2 linked regions of the Daphnia pulex genome follow. The protein of the gene in region 1 binds, or shares a complex with, the protein of each later gene. Links are inferred from orthologs where the notes say so. Each region holds a gene or a part of one and is shown in the gene's direction. Other genes may lie near its edges.

Region 1 (8,561 bases):
CCTGTTTTATGTGGTGAAATTTCAGCTCATATGGTAGAACCGTAAAATTTACATTGCGCATAGATAATGACTAGTCATTGCCAAGTTTTTGAGTCTCGTCATAAAGAGGTGCATACAGTCCGTTCTAGTTGTTTTAACTTTCCAACAAAGTCGTGAATTTGATTCTTATATTTGAATTACAGGTTCTGCAAGAGCGAAAAGCTGAGCATCGCATTCGCAAGGCTCAAGAACTTGCACAAAAAGAAAACAAGACATCTCCTACTTCCGCAGACGTTGATGACAATGTCGATTTGATAAGTAAATAATACTGATATCATCAAAAGGCACCATGTTTCTTCGGTCATTTCACGACTGGTTTTTTACCAATGCAGAAAAACCCCGACTGGCCTTCCTGGATCTGTTGATTGAAGCTTCGCAGGACGGTACGCTTCTGAGTGATTTGGACATCCGCGAAGAAGTCGATACCTTTATGTTTGAGGTGTGTTTTAATTTCCCGAAATGGAATGTTGAATGATGTAACTAATGTTGGCCAACACAGGGGCAAGACACTACCGCAGCAGCGGTCAGTTGGTGCTTGTATTTGATTGGAAGCCATCCGGAGGTACAGGAGCGCGTCAGTGAGGAACTGAATCGCATTTTTGGTACCTCCGACCGACCCATAACTATGACGGATATTCTCCAGCTGAAATACTTGGAATGTTGCATCAAAGAGGCTTTGAGGCTCTTTCCTAGCGTAGCCATGTATGGGCGAACATTGAGCGAGGATGCCACCATCCGTATGTTTGTTTCTCTTGTAAAGCGATTCATCTTTCCGCTTTTCTCTTTGATTGCTGTGCATTATTCATATCCATCACCAGCATATTTCCTGTGTAATGTTGAATAAAATTGCACCTCTTTACTATCTGACACACTTTCCCAGATGGCTACGTGATTCCGGCTGGGTCTACCGTCGCCGTTATTCCCTACTCGCTTCACAGAGATCCGGTACAGTTTCCAGACCCGGAACGTTTCGACCCGGAGCGATTCATGGGCGATAACAAACGTAGCAGACATCCTTATGCCTATGTGCCATTTAGCGCTGGACCACGCAATTGTATCGGTAATTCATTCATTCGTTTATTATTTCATAGCAAAGTATAGTTCCGTATAGTTCCTGAATTGTCCGCCAAGTTTTGCCTGGTCATCGCCCTTTTGTCTTGTAAAAGTATTACGGCACTAAATGTTTGCAGCCTCTTCTTTCCTTTGATGGCGTACACTATGTACCGTTACTTTTCAATTTATAATTAGCTATCGTTGTGCGTTTCATCTTCTAGGCCAGAAGTATGCCGTGATGGAGGAAAAAGTTGTTTTGGCCACAGTTCTAAGAAACTTTCATCTCGAGTCGTTGGAGAAGCGTGAAGACCTCGTCCTCATAGGGGAACTTGTTCTCCGGCCACGAGACGGTGTTCAAGTCCGCCTTACGCCTAAACAAATCACGCCGTCTTTTCCATCGTGTTGATCATAGCGATTACCGGTATCAAGTATATACATATAGTACATAGGAATCTAACAACCCCCTTTTTCTTTTTCTTTCATTTCCATTTTTTCCTCCGCGTTTGTTGTGTGGCGTAACTTTTGTGTAATACAAAGAATAGTTCCTTTTCTTTCTTATAAACAAATGATTTTTCTGGTCTTTAACGCATTTTTTCCACTACAAGCTGAAGGCATTGTTTTTTTGAGTTACTGAGGAGCTACAAGATATCAGATCTAGGTTTATCGGTGTTTCAAATACAAGCTTTCGATTACCGACTCTGACCGGTTGGTTTAAGTCAATTGAGCCCAAAGGTACTATAAATTTGATCGTGCTGCTTCCAAGTGAATATTGGAAATCGCCCTAAAGGTGTAGGTCCGTATAGAAAGTGAACTCCTCTTGTAGGCTACTTTTGTAGATTATTTTTTTTTCGCTCACTTTCTTTTGGTATGTTATCTTCCCCGCGTTATCATTCTAACCCAGACCTTAAACTCCAAGCCTAGAAAAAACTTTCTTTTTCATCGAATTTGTTTTATTCATGCTGCTTTCGTTCTTCTTTTTTTCATGATTTCATCGTGCAATCGTGTCATCGTGAAGTTTTGCATCGGTCACGGTGACTTTTACCAGACTCACTTTTCACTTTACCTAAAAAGTTCCCCTTTATTTAGTGCCGTTACTTTGTAATCACTGTTTCTTTATAATACATAGTGAACTATTCAAACTGCGAAGTTTCTAGTTCTTTTACAGTTTTGTTACTCGATCATTGCGGTTATTAGTTATTACAGTTTTTTTTATTTTTCAATGACATTGCATTTTTCCGGGATCAAAACATCTACCTTTTAGTCTTTTACCTTGAGTGTTTCCACTTCTGTTCGAGTTTGTTTATTTTTTACGAGTTCGTTCAACTCGAAACGTTCTATTTTAGCTATGGAAGTTGTGACGTGACTTTTGGATTTCGCCAGGCCAGAAAAAGAAAAGCCAGACATACTTTAAAGGAATTCCTTCTTTCTTTCAGTATATTTCTTTAAGATTTTTTACTTTCCATTAAAAACAAATGAAAATAGTTGCCAACACAACCGAAATGACAAAAAGTTCACATTGGGCTTTTTGAAACCAAGGGTTTTTATTTTATTTCCGCAAAGAGATATTTTTTTATTGGAAATAGTTTGAGAGTTCGACAACTTGGTCTCAAAGATTTATTACTTGGCGAGGTAAAGTGAAGTGAAAAAATTCGACAATGTCATCCCATGACTTCGTACCATAGACCTTTTCTATATATTGGTTCACAATTACAGTTCATGCTCTTCCATACTACATTAAAGCTATTTCGCAATGGGATGTCTATTTTGCTTTTTAAAATTTCTGCAGTTGGCGCCTTGGAAAAAGTGACATCTGAAAAACTGATTCTGCACTAAAGCAGTTCTTGATTCTGCCGCTAGGTATCACTAGCGTTCTTCACTCCGGCCACGTCAGCTAAGTGACAACATTGTGGACAAATTTTCTTCTCTCAACCGGCAATATTAAGAAAACCATTAGAAAATTAGTTTGATATTGAAATTTGTCATCTATCGGAGATTCTTAAGAGGTGAGTTAAAGCTAATATCAAACAACGTTCTATACTTTTTATTGATTTGTGATGAGACTGAAACAACTTCCTGGTTACAGTGGGTGTATGCCAGTCTTTGTATCAATAGTTGCCAGTTAAGAATTCAAACATTACTATCAGAATATTTCTCCCAAAAATAGATAAATGAATGTTAAATGTAAAAATATCTCGTTATGTTACCTCTTGTCTGTGCCTTACAAAATGATGATTATAGAATGAGATGATTCCTACCAAAACAAGGCATGCTGTTTGAACTGAGATTAATTGATTTTTCCGTTTTAGGCTTAGAAAATGAAAATTAAAGAAGTTGAACAAACTGCAAATATTGCATGGTCCCCTGCCTCACAGTATCCAATATATTTGGCTACGGGGACAGCTGCTCAGCAGCTTGATGCATCGTTTAGCACCACATCACAAATTGATCTATATTCATTGGATTTAAATGAACCTGGTCTTGGTATGGGATTGAAAGCTTCAATATCCACTAAACAAAGGTATATTTCAGTTTCAATAACATTACAAAAGATTCAGATACTACAAGATTTTCATCTACAGGTTTCACAAGTTGGTGTGGGGCTCACAGGGAATCACTAGTGGGGAAAATCCTGGTGGAGTCATAGTTGGTGGTGCAGATCAAGGACACATTCTTCTATTTGATGCAGATAAATTGCTGTTGGGAAAAAATGATGAAACTGGTGGATACTTATTGGCAGATAGTAAAAAACATAGTGGGGCTGTCAAGGCGCTTGACTTCAATCCCTTCCAACAAAATTTATTGGCATCGGGAGCAGCTCAGTCGGAAATTTATATCTGGGATTTGAATAGTCCTGCTGCGCCGATGACACCTGGAACGCTTTCTCAACCACCAGACGATGTTACATGCCTTTCCTGGAATAGACAAGTGCAACATATCTTGGCATCAACCTTCGCAACGCGTTGCGTCGTATGGGATTTAAGAAAGAACGAGCCCATCATCAAGGTGTGTTAGTAATTTACTTTAATTCGATCTTATTTTGTTAACTCTAATCTTTTATGGCTAACAGGTCAGTGACAGTACGTCAAGAATGCGCTGCAAGGCAGTTGCTTGGCATCCTAAAGTTGCTACCCAGTTGTGTCTAGCTTCCGAAGAAGATCAGTTGCCCGTCATTCAATTCTGGGACCTTAGGCAAGCTTCGGCTCCTATCAACACGTTTGAAGGTCATCAGAGAGGCATCCTAGCAATGGATTGGTGTCCTCAGGTTTATTTAAACATCCATATTGAAATAAACTTTTCATAACCATATTTACATTTTTAGGATCCTGACCTTCTATTGAGTTGTGGCAAGGATAACCGAGTGTTAATCTGGAATCCTAACAGCCTAGCTCCTCGTGGTGAAATTCTCTGTGAGCTGAGCACTAGCAGCCAATGGTGCTTCGATACGGCGTGGTGTCCCAGAAATCCGTCTTGCATTGCCACCGCTAGTTTTGACGGCCACGTACGAGTTCATTCCATCATGGGAGGACGAGAAGTGGCTGTGCAACCCACTGTCAACATGATTGCCGATTCTTTTCCTGGGATGGATTCTGCCCCAGCATTGCAACCACCCCAACAGCAAATTATTGTCCATGAACAACTAAAGAAGGCACCCAAATGGATTCGTCCAATCTGTGGAGCATCATTTGCATTTGGCGGAAAGCTGGTCACATTTGGCTTGGAGACTCCCAGCACCACGCCACAAGTGCACATTAGTCAAGTCATAACCGAAAATGAGTTAACACTACGTTCCCATGAGCTAGAAACAGCTCTAAATACTGGAAATTTGGCTGAATTTTGCGTCAAGAAAATGGAATCCGATGGCGAACACAAGGAGGCATGGAACTTCCTGGCGGCAAACTTTAGCCCAGCTCCCCGACAGCAGTTGCTGCAACTGTTGAACTACGAACCCCAGCCAACTACTTCTGAAGATGGTGTAGTCGACGCATTGGAAGGTTTGGGAATGCCTGACACATTCGATTCTATCGCTGCGGAAGTCAAAACTTTCAAAATCCCTACCGACGAATCTGTTGACGGCAAGATCAGCAAAGCTTTGATCACTGGCAACCTAGCTGTGGCAGTAGATCTTTGTTTCAACGATAAACGTTATGCAGATGCCATTGTGCTGGCCATGACTGGGCCACCGGAGCTGCTGACCGCCACTAGAAACCGCTATTTCCGTTTGACACAGGGTGACGTTCCGCGTCTGATCCAAGCTGTTGTCACTCGGGACTGGGAAAAGATCGTTCAACATTGCGATATGAGCAACTGGAAGGAAGCATTGGCTGCAACGCTGACCTACGCAGAAGATAACGAATTTGCCAACCTTTGTCAGACAATTGGTCAGAGGCTCGAGGCCGAAACAGGAGCCACAAACGAAGCAGTTCTTTGCTACATTTGCGCTGGAAACATGGAGAAAGTAGTCGACTGTTGGCTGCGAGTCGAGGATGATTCAACGGCATCCCTACAAGAGATGGTAGAACAAATCATGGTCCTTCGCCAAGCTCAGCGACACTGGGGTCGTCAACCTGTGGCTATTAATTCAGGTCACCTTACCCAACAACTTTGTCGTTACGCCGGACTCTTGGCTGGCCAAGGCAGTCTGGAAGCAGCACTGACTTATCTCGATATGTCGCAGGTAAAAATAAAATTCTCTTGAACGCATTCACGATCTAGACGTTAATGTTTTTGTTTTGTCTTGTTTCATGTAGGACGATTCGATGGTAGAATTAAAGGACAGACTTCAACGCGCATTGAATCCGGTCGACCGTAAGGTTTCTACCGGAATGATGAACGGTGCTTACAGCATGGCATCGCAACAGCAAAAGGCTGGGCCGCTGCAGCGATACCCATCGGTTGGAATTAATAGGTCTTCTACACCAACAAACAGCTATTACGGTCATCAGGATCAATTTAATTCAGCTCCAGCTGTGCCAGCCTATCCCCCGAAACCTACAACTCCATTCCAGGGCAATAATTGGGCAACGTCCACTAATACTTACAACTCTCCTCAAGCAGCGACTTCGATGCCTCCAACGGCCAATACACCTGCACCACCTCCAAGTGGCCAGCCTGTACAACAATTTTACCAAGCTCCGAGTGCCCAGCCTTTGCAACAATTTCATCAGTCCCCGAGCATCCAGCCTTCGCAGCAATTTCATCAACCTCCAAGCGTCCAGCCTTCGCAGCAGTATCATCAGCCTGCTCCACCACCGCCTGCAGCAGCTACGGTGGCCCCTCCCCCGATAACAGGGAATGTTTCGCGCTTGGGATCACTGAATCAACGTAACAGAGTTTACGTCCAGGATCCTAGCGTTTCCAGTGGTCGATCTGGTGGATATTTCAACGCTGCGTCGAATTCACAATTCCAGCAAGTCAATCAGATGGGTTACATGTCCCAGCCACCACAATCGAATTCGGCGATGTTCCAACCTACTGGTCAGTTCAACACTCCGTCATCTTACGCGCAACAGGGCGGTTTTCCTGGAAATCAGTTTAACCAGCCTTTACCGCCCTCCCCTGGGTCGTTCAATATGCAAAGCGGGCAGATGTCTAACGGCGGAGTAATGGATAATGTCCAACAGCCTCCATCTCTTTACAATCCAATGGAACACGCTCAAGCGCCGCAGCAACAAAGCGCATTTATGCAACCAACATCATTTGATGCTCCACCATCTATAACTCCTCCGTTGGCTACCAATCTCGTGCCCTCCGTACCATTTCTTCCCACCGCGAGCGCGCCTCCTGGTTGGAACGATCCACCTCCTCTAACGTCGTTCGCTAAAGTGAAAGCTGAGCCAGCTGTCATTGAAACTATCAATCACCCCATGGGTGTTGTGGAACAGCCAGCCATTCCCATTATTCAGCCTTTCGAAGGGTCATTCAATCAAGGAGCAATGAATGCTCCAGTTGATATGATTCAAAACCAACACCACCAGCAGGCGCCTGAGCCAATCCAGCCAGCCCAAGCCTTGCTTCCGATTCCAAACGAACACTTAATCATTCACGATGTATTCCACACGTTGAAAGATAAATGTGCCGCACTAGCCTCCAATGCGGTGAGAAACTACTAGAATTATATTATCATGACGAGATCATTATTTTATAATTTTTTTTTTCTTTTTAGCAATTGAAGAGAAAGCTAGACGATGTAGGAAAGAAGCTAGAGTGCCTGGATGATCTGTTACGGAAAAATATGGTAATTCATCAACTATATTCAATATTTTTTGGTAAAGCTAATGTTCGTAAAATTTATTGTAGTTGCTGAGCCCCACCCTTTTGGGGTTACATCAGATTGTGCAAGCTGTTCAGGCGTACGATTACGCGACCAGTCTTAGTCTACACTCTAATGTGGTGATCAATACGCCCTTCACCGAAATCGGATCGTTCATATCTGGTTTAAAAGTGCTTCTCCAGATGGCTCAGCAACTGGGAGTCCAATACCAGTAGCAACATTGGGGGAAAAGAAAGATTTTTTTTCTATGAGATATGATATCTAAAGTCTGATTTGTGCTCGCATGTTAGGCAGAAAAGTTGGCTTCGTCGCTCCACACTTCGTTTCTCTTGATGTGTGTGTAGTTAATACCTTCCCCCTTTTCTTTAACCAGAGAATTCATTAAAATCTATGCTATTTACAATGATCGAAGTACTCTTTTGGGTGTGGCTTATATTTTTATTAATTTTTATAACATGAATATTTTGTTTAGGAGAAAGAAAATAATTTCACAATCCTAATGGACACTATGTTGATTCGAAACTTCACACTTCATGTTGAATTAGAACTTTTAAACTTAAATACTTACTGACTTCTCAAGTTGGCTCGGCAATCCTCAAGCTAGCAGGAAGGAGAGGCAAGCAAGCAAGTCTTCCAGGAATTTAAACTACCGTGTAAATATTTGTGATTTTTCCAGAATTAACGAAGCGGTGGTTCCCTATATGTTATTGTTGCGTCGATACAATCAATCATCTACGAGAGAAGGTAAGTAAAAACTAAATATGTTAATCAAATGTTCTAGTTTGCTAATACGGATGTGGAAAATTTGTATTATAAAACCATCGAGTGAGTTTTCTTTTCTGTAAACTTCTCAAGATTTCAAGGTAGGTTTTGGCAAATAAAAGTGCGCAGTGGATAATGGTTTGCCCTATATAATACTGAGATCTTGCGAGGGGTTGTAAATCAGTCGTTTTCATTTTTGTTAAAGTACTCTTTTTTTTGCAGTTGCTTTGGAACAGTGCTTCATTAACTTCATTTGTCCTAGTGATTGCATGTAAACAAATTGTTACCTTTGTGTGTTTGCAATCAATTTAACCAATCCCCTTGGGCTTAAAGGTGTCCTGTTTCGTTTCAAGAGAAACTGTAGTGGGTAACTTCGGATAGTCGAAAATTGTCGTTGGAATACGAATACTTTCAGGTGGTGAAACCTCTGACTGAG
Region 2 (7,375 bases), on another chromosome or scaffold:
CGTGGGGTATTGACCGGATCAAGCAAAGTCTGCAGCAAGTTTCGGCTATCCCCCGCCATGGTGCGCACTAGTCGACTAGCCGCACGACTTTTCGCTCTACTTACCCGAACCAAATGGAAAAAGGTCTATAGCAAGTTAGAACTCTTCTAAACATTACACCAACCAATCTATATATCACTTATATTGTTATATTCTATGTATACCTTGAGAAAACGGGTTTGACTTCGCGTACATCTTATCATGTCAGGAGAGCTTACAGAAAAATCTTATAATATTATTAGTAGTGTTTGTGTGTGTAGCGAAACTTTTTATTGCAGATTCCTCCGTCACACAAAGTTTCGCTATACTCCGTAATTAACGTTGCGTTCCTTCCAGTGTAAACGCACCTTTAGAAGCTTGTTAAAAAGGCAGAGAAGCAGTAAACGAACTTCATTGTAGTTAAATTGCTCTTAATGCTAAAAATAATAATTAAAATTTCCACCACAATTGGTTTTTCCATAATATTTTAACAATAGTTTAATTCCACGTAATTTTTTCCGCGGGTCAAATCATTAACACTCACTCATTAATTGGGCAAAAGGAAAATAATTTTTCTGTTACTGGTGACGAACCGGAGGTAATATATTATGTAGGAGGGAATGAGGGATTTTTTGGAAAACATTTAAATCGAATTTCCGAGAAAAGTTTCGAAGTAGTTGTCAACCCGCGAAACTCACGAAATTTCCCATTTCTCTGAGACGACGCCATTAAAGTTGTCTGATATTATTTCACTGTTTGGTGACGCACGTTGTTAGCACTACGCAACAACAATCCAACACTTCCCGTCGTCTGCACTTTGGACATTGATGCCAATTTCAGAATTTTAAAATTAGTTGTAGTAATAAATGATGTAAATAAACCCCCGAAGGAACGGGACTCATATTGCGTTATAAAAAAAATTATCCGTATCTTGGTGGTAGAGAAATGGCCTGGAATGGCGTATATCAATGGATCGATCCTCACATGGGTCATAACTCTTCTAGAAACCAAAAACCCTTAACATTTTGACAAAATGATTTTCATGTTTAACAAGCGATCCATGACTCAGGTAGACCGAAATCCCGGAGCAGCTTTCCAGATTTATATCCGGAAAAGGAATTTGAAATATAAAAAATATATGTTGTCATTTTTGTCTCTACACGCCGGATTTACTTGCGTTTGCAGAAAGACGAAATTCCCACCCGTTTACGAGATATTAAGCGTTAAAGTTTGAGTTTTTTTTTATTTATCAGAAATGGGGGGTACTTTGACATCGCTTTTCTGAAAGGTATAGGGGCTATAGCAGAAACTTATTTTATAGAAAGGTTTATTGCTATCTCAACCATTAAAATCCAAAAGGAATTTTCTTTCCGGATTTTATTGGTTGAGATATGACTAATTTCCTGAGAGGCTCATTTTTCCCTTTTCCCTCTCTGCCTGGCACCCATATTTTGTTCTCACTGCCGCGCTCCTTCCGGAAGCAAGCAGAAGGTTTTATCTGTTGGCCTTCATTTTAGACCCATAGAAGTCATATCGGCCTTCATATTTAGTGGAACTAAGCTGGTTTCCGCAAGGGGCGCAAAGGAGAGTAAAAAAAAAGTTGTATAGATGTTATTCCAACTTAAAAGTAGTAGTCGAGTAAAAGCAGAGATAAGGAGATGGGCCACTCTGTGTAAAGTCCAGCAGTCGACTTCCCCTCCTCCTTCTTTTCGACTGCCCTGCTCCTTTCGGCGAGCTCCGGAAGCTTTACCTTACTTGGTGGTAGGGGCGGTCCTGAAGGGGGAGAACTACTGGGAAATGCTTCCGGAGCTCGCCGAAAGGAGCAGGGCAGTCGAAAAGGAGGAGGAGGGGGGAAAAAGTCGACTACTGGACTTTACACAGAGTGGCCCATCTCCTTATCTCTGAGTAAAAGTCGTGCGCAGTTTACGCCGATGCGCACCACTGCGGCCGATAGCAGAATGAAATTTTTATTACGCTTGACACTTAACGTAGGTACAATCCTTTGTTCCAGAACTGTCTGCTTCTCGAACAAAGGATTGTACCTACGTCATCTGTCAAGCGTAATAAAAATTGTCGTTCTGCTATCGGCCGCAGACCCGCAGTGGTGTGCACCGGCGTAAACTGCGCACGACTTTTTGGCATGTCTACTACTTTTTGGTTGGAATAACATCTATAAGGAGGATTCAAAACAAAAATTAATTATTTTTCATGCTTCTAGGCCTTCTACCCTATTGTTGATGAAACTATTACCATTATTTATAACAAAATTGTTTATAACTTGTGGACTTGTGGTGTACTCGATTGATAGCGGATGGACTCGAACTGTAGCGTACTCGATTTTTTAGCGTACTTTTTTTTTAGCATTTGATTATCGATTCGATCTCGATCACGCTCTATAAATTGAAAAATTGGTGTGATGTCATAGATAAAGACCACGGGTCTTTATAATTAGTGGTCTTTAGGTCAACCGCTTCCTCTTGATCAGAAAAAAATAAGCGATCAATCGTGATAAACTAATCGATCGCGTAAACTGGTTTTCAGTATGTTTGGCACCTAGATGGCACCGGCGTTTCTCCCTTTTTCAAATTCTTCTGAACAAATACTTAAATTTCTCGTTATATTAATTATCAGTAATAGAAACATTTAGCAAGCCAATAACTATTTTTTTTTTTTTGTAAAATCTGATTTACCCACAAAAAAATTATAGAGCCAACATATAGGGCTGTGGCCCGGGCGATGAAAACCCGGGCCACCGCCCGGGCTGAACGAAAAAAAACCCAACCCGACTCGACCCATCGAGGCATTTTTTTTAACGGGGCGGGCGACGGGTTGAACTCCCGGTACCGCGGGCCAACCCGAGCGGTGGCGCCATCTAGTAGTCACATAGAGAAGCTCGTTATTCTCTATGCCTGCGGCCTCAAAATATTGCCGCCAAATGCTCTACGATAATTTCGTAGCATGAAAAGTAGGATAAGTGGTAGAAAAGGGCGTTCAGGGGTGTTCAGAAGACAGAATTGACGTGTCACTGTTAGAAGAAGAAGATAATTAAGAAATTTAGGGAATTTTTTTAAGTTTGTAAAAAAAAAAGTGTGTTTGACCCGATTTTTTACCCGGGCCGTTACCCGACCGGTAAAAATTTTTTGACCCATGGGTTGGCCCGGGCCAAACCCGTTCACTCAGTTGGCCCAACCCGCTCCGACCCGCGGAAGAAGAAAAACCCATCTAAAAAACCCATTGAAAAAAAACCCGCTAAAAACGTCCCGGGCCACAGCCCTAAACATACGGATCGTCGATTATCGTCCAAGACTCCTGTCTTTATTTTACAGCAGTCATGGCTCATGGGTTTCGACTTTGGACTTGGATTGACTGTTGAGTGTTGAGTCATCAATGATTGAGACATCAAGTTGATTCAGTGCAACTCAGTGAATTAAGTTGACTGTTGGCCACTACAAAAAAATCCCTTTACTTATTAATAACACCCTTTGGTATCGGGCAGTTTAAAAAACGTATTGTACTTGAGTGAATTCTATTTATAAACGTTTAGTCGCGTTTAGTCTACACAATGGCTTATCAGCACTATCAAGGGCCGGGTGCGGTTCCAGCTGCTCCAAATCGTGATTTTCTTTGGCAGGTGTTTCAAAGGTTAAACAATTTTGTTGTGGGTTAAATTCAGGGAGAAAATTACAACTAAAATATATTTATTGAAATTTTTAGAGTTGACAAAGATAGAAGTGGAGCAATAACTGCCGAAGAGCTGCAATCAGCTCTATCCAATGGAACATGGGCTCCATTTAACTCGGAAACTGTTAGACTTATGATTGGTATGTGTTTGACAGCTGTATGAGAGGCATTAATGATAATTTTGTATCCCTTTGTACTAATGTTCCGTTTTGAATTGTGCACTACTACAGGTATGTTTGATCGTCAACAAAGAGGAACTATTTCCTTTGAAGATTTTGGAGCAATCTGGAAGTATGTCACTGATTGGCAAACTTGCTTTAGAAGTTTTGACAGAGATAATTCGGGGAACATTGATGGCAATGAACTAAGAACAGCACTTACAAGTAGTTTGTCATTAAAGTTGGCTGACAATTTTTAAATATACTAAGTGTTCTTTTGTGTTAATATAGGTTTCGGCTATCGTTTGCAAGACGGAACTCATCATATGTTGCTTCGAAAATTCGATCGTATGGGAAAAGGAACGATATATTTTGATGATTTCATTCAGTGTTGCATCGTTTTACATGTAAGAAAGATTTTTACATATCTATGATTTAAATGAAAGTATCATTTTTTCATATATCTATATTGTTTTCAATGACAGAACTTGACTTCAGCGTTTCGTCAATTCGATACCGATCAAGACGGTGTCATTACTATCGGATATGAACATTTTCTTCAAATGGTCCTCAACACCCGCGTATAAGTTTCAGCTAATATACCTAAGCTACTAAATTTACCACTTCCTTATTGCTGTTTGTGTATGTTTCTTTGCTCATATAGAGATTCTGTAACAGCCAATATCTTGATTTTTCCTGGCAGTTGATTGAACTCTTCTCCCTTTTGAATAAACTTGCATATGAAATGTTATTTTACTGTGATATAACTACTGTGTGAATCAGTATAACACCTTGTGTGCGATCTGATTGCTTGATAATATTGTTGCTCAAGGATCAGCATCAATCGTACACAGCAACGGAACTTTTCGTAATAGCACACAACGCACTGTAAACAAACTACAGCAATAGGGCATCTATTTCGTATCTGTCGTGTAAAGATAAAGCGATATAATCAAGATAAAATGAGTCATTTTAGAAGGTCTGTTATGCCAGCGCATTGTCGTAGAGGTAAAGTGTGCCTGCCCTATTCTATTCGACTTTTTTAACATGTTTCCAATATTTTTTCCCTGACAATCCAGAAAATAGAATACGGAAATAGAATTTAACCATGAACAAAAATTGATGTTAGTAAAAGTGAGTGATTATTTAGCTTATCATTCACTTCTGCAACTTTATATGTTCAGATTCTTTTTTGGGCGTAAACGGGAAGTTTACGAGGGTACGAGTAATTTATTGTCATTGTAGTCAGGTTTGTCCTCAAATCGACATAACCCATACTTATTAGCCTACGTCACCAAATTGTAGAAAATATTTCCGCGATGAATGTATAGGATAGTTGGCAACATTACAGAACAGTTTATTAATTATAGCATTTGTGTTAATAGTAAATATTTAGCAGTCGTATTGTTATTCAACAACTTCATTTTTATTGAGCGCACGTTATTTCGTTTATACATGTAGCCTATCTTGGACCTTTATTTTCTGTACCGTTAATTCTTTATTCATCATCGTGGTATTCTAGAATAACCAGACGCATTTAGTTTCATGATATAAGTTATTTTATTTTATTTTATTTTTTTAGATTGATGATGCGATAAATCAAACGTTCTGACTTCTGAGTTATCGTGAAAAATGGAGGCATGCAAAGACCTTTTACCCTATGTTTCGAAATTTTACAAGGGTGCTACACATATTTCAATATACACTGTTACAATTTACTCTTTTATCAGAACAATCAATTCAAACTTCTTTTTTTTTACTCCTGAACTCATAACGCACAGCCATCACAATAACTGATTGTCTTATAGGCTAGTCCAAACTCCAAACTAGCTATATGAATGTTTGAATAAGACATTAACATTGGAAAAGTAATTGGTGCTTAATGTTTAGTGTGTTTTATTACATTATTTTGCGTTCAAACAACATACAATCACGAAAGAGATGCGCACTTAAGATCAATTCATGGCGTCAGTCTGTTTCCTGGGCAAATACAAAAATCCTGTTTATATTATATTGGTAATAAAATTTTCCAATTATAGGACTAATATCCTTTTACGATTGTAATTCATGCGAGATATCATCGGATGCGTAAAGCGTTACAGATGCTATAAGGTTATTTGGCATCACCTTACATTCAAAAAGAGAAATTCATTAAAAGCTTTCAGTATTTTAGGAATCTAAAAATCGTTATTCACCTCGAAAATAATATCCTCAACCCCGTAGCAGAACGTAGAACCGAAGGGGTTTGTTGTATTCGTCGATGACGATCGATGTAAAACAATCGGACGTGAACTAGGCTGCACTTTCTCGCAAACTTCATCCCAACGTGAATAAGCAGATACCTACATTCGTAAATAATTTATGACATTGGTTTCACGCAAGAACATATATGTGAATTGAAAACCAACAGTGATAAATGTCGGCGATAAATCGACCAATCTCGAATTATCGACGGAAGTGGCCTTGGTCGGCAACTGGAGCTTAAACTCACATCGGTGATACCTAATTGAGAGAGAATTTTAAAAAAAAATAATTAAGCATTGACCAGCTCCCACGCATTCACTGCAAAATGTTTCACTTACATATTGAAATTGTAATGTCCTGGATAATTCGTATGCAGTACGAACTTCTTCAACTTGTGATATTTCCCATCGAATAAAGCATCCTTTTTTAAAACGGGAAATTTGTAATGAAACTTTTAAAAATGAAATCTAGAATAATTTTAAGTATACTAATCCAAGAGTGAAGTAGTTGTAAAAATAATCCGAAAAAGAAGCTGGAGCTCGACGATGCGCCTGTGGACTGTGAATCCTCATTTTGTCTTCGTCCTACCATCGACGATAAGAATTAAATTTATAAAGTGCATGTACATATATTTGCACATTTTACTTTATAAAACACGCGAGATGGAGCTCCCAACAGCGTAAGCACATCTTCGGCAGAAGCTCCAAAAAATAATTCCTGGACACAGGCATGTCGTCTAGGTTCCAATACTTGAGATGGACCTAAAACGCAAAATTACATTGATTTGAAAGTTAGTTTCTAAATTTATCAATGTTTGAGCCGAACCTTCACAAATAATGGAGAGCTTGATACCAGATGTACATCCATTATGACGAATAACTTCGAGCCATTGCAGATAAGGATGAGAAAAAAAGCAGGATATCGGTAGCGAAGGTGGTTTGCTGTCAACCAAGCTGTTTCCACTGAAAATGAACATCTTTGTTGCTATAGGAGACGCGCCGTTGGTGAATTGAAGCGATCCAAGTCCTCGAACGTATCTCGGTTCGCTAGCCTGTTCAACTGGAAAGGTAAAAGATAGGCCACGGAAATTTAGAGTAAAGATTCTTTTCTCAGGATCATATATTCCAGGGTGTGTAGCTCCAAAAGAATGATCTATTTGATCTATGGTTGGGATAACATCAGTTGAATTGAAAACCAGGCCACTATATCAAAATAGGGCATGATTATTTCTCCTAATCTTGTCTAAATTTTAAAATATTTTTACTATTACCAGT

Evidence for each region. The genes of interacting proteins can lie anywhere in the genome.
Region 2: the proteins of protein transport protein Sec31A-like (region 1) and programmed cell death protein 6-like are in contact, whole or in part, in a crystal structure (PDB 3WXA), measured with the Homo sapiens proteins. The link is inferred for Daphnia pulex from reciprocal best matches to the Homo sapiens genes SEC31A and PDCD6. Residues at the interface, in NP_001070675.1 of Homo sapiens: Asn837, Pro838, Pro839, Pro840, Pro841, Gly842, Phe843, Ile844, Met845; in NP_037364.1 of Homo sapiens: Val31, Val35, Leu48, Ala51, Leu52, Ser53, Asn54, Gly55, Thr56, Trp57, Phe85, Trp89, Ile92, Gln96, Phe99, Phe148.

What each region holds. Positions count from the first base shown.
Region 1 is NC_060028.1:9,226,742-9,235,302, reverse strand, and holds protein transport protein Sec31A-like, read left to right. Parts: upstream 1-2,945; 5' UTR 2,946-3,095; intron 3,096-3,398; 5' UTR 3,399-3,407; coding exon 3,408-3,610; intron 3,611-3,671; coding exon 3,672-4,095; intron 4,096-4,159; coding exon 4,160-4,354; intron 4,355-4,411; coding exon 4,412-5,767; intron 5,768-5,840; coding exon 5,841-7,187; intron 7,188-7,255; coding exon 7,256-7,327; intron 7,328-7,389; coding exon 7,390-7,578; 3' UTR 7,579-7,766; downstream 7,767-8,561. UniProt on the Homo sapiens protein: Component of the coat protein complex II (COPII) which promotes the formation of transport vesicles from the endoplasmic reticulum (ER).
Region 2 is NC_060019.1:5,645,144-5,652,518, forward strand, and holds programmed cell death protein 6-like, read left to right. Parts: upstream 1-3,304; 5' UTR 3,305-3,580; coding exon 3,581-3,660; intron 3,661-3,732; coding exon 3,733-3,839; intron 3,840-3,929; coding exon 3,930-4,082; intron 4,083-4,148; coding exon 4,149-4,264; intron 4,265-4,342; coding exon 4,343-4,444; 3' UTR 4,445-4,608; downstream 4,609-7,375. Other genes in the region: PHAF1 protein CG7083-like, read right to left, coding at 5,813-5,837, 5,914-5,984, 6,053-6,199, 6,266-6,359, 6,440-6,522, 6,590-6,685, 6,747-6,862, 6,927-7,303 and 1 more. UniProt on the Homo sapiens protein: Calcium sensor that plays a key role in processes such as endoplasmic reticulum (ER)-Golgi vesicular transport, endosomal biogenesis or membrane repair.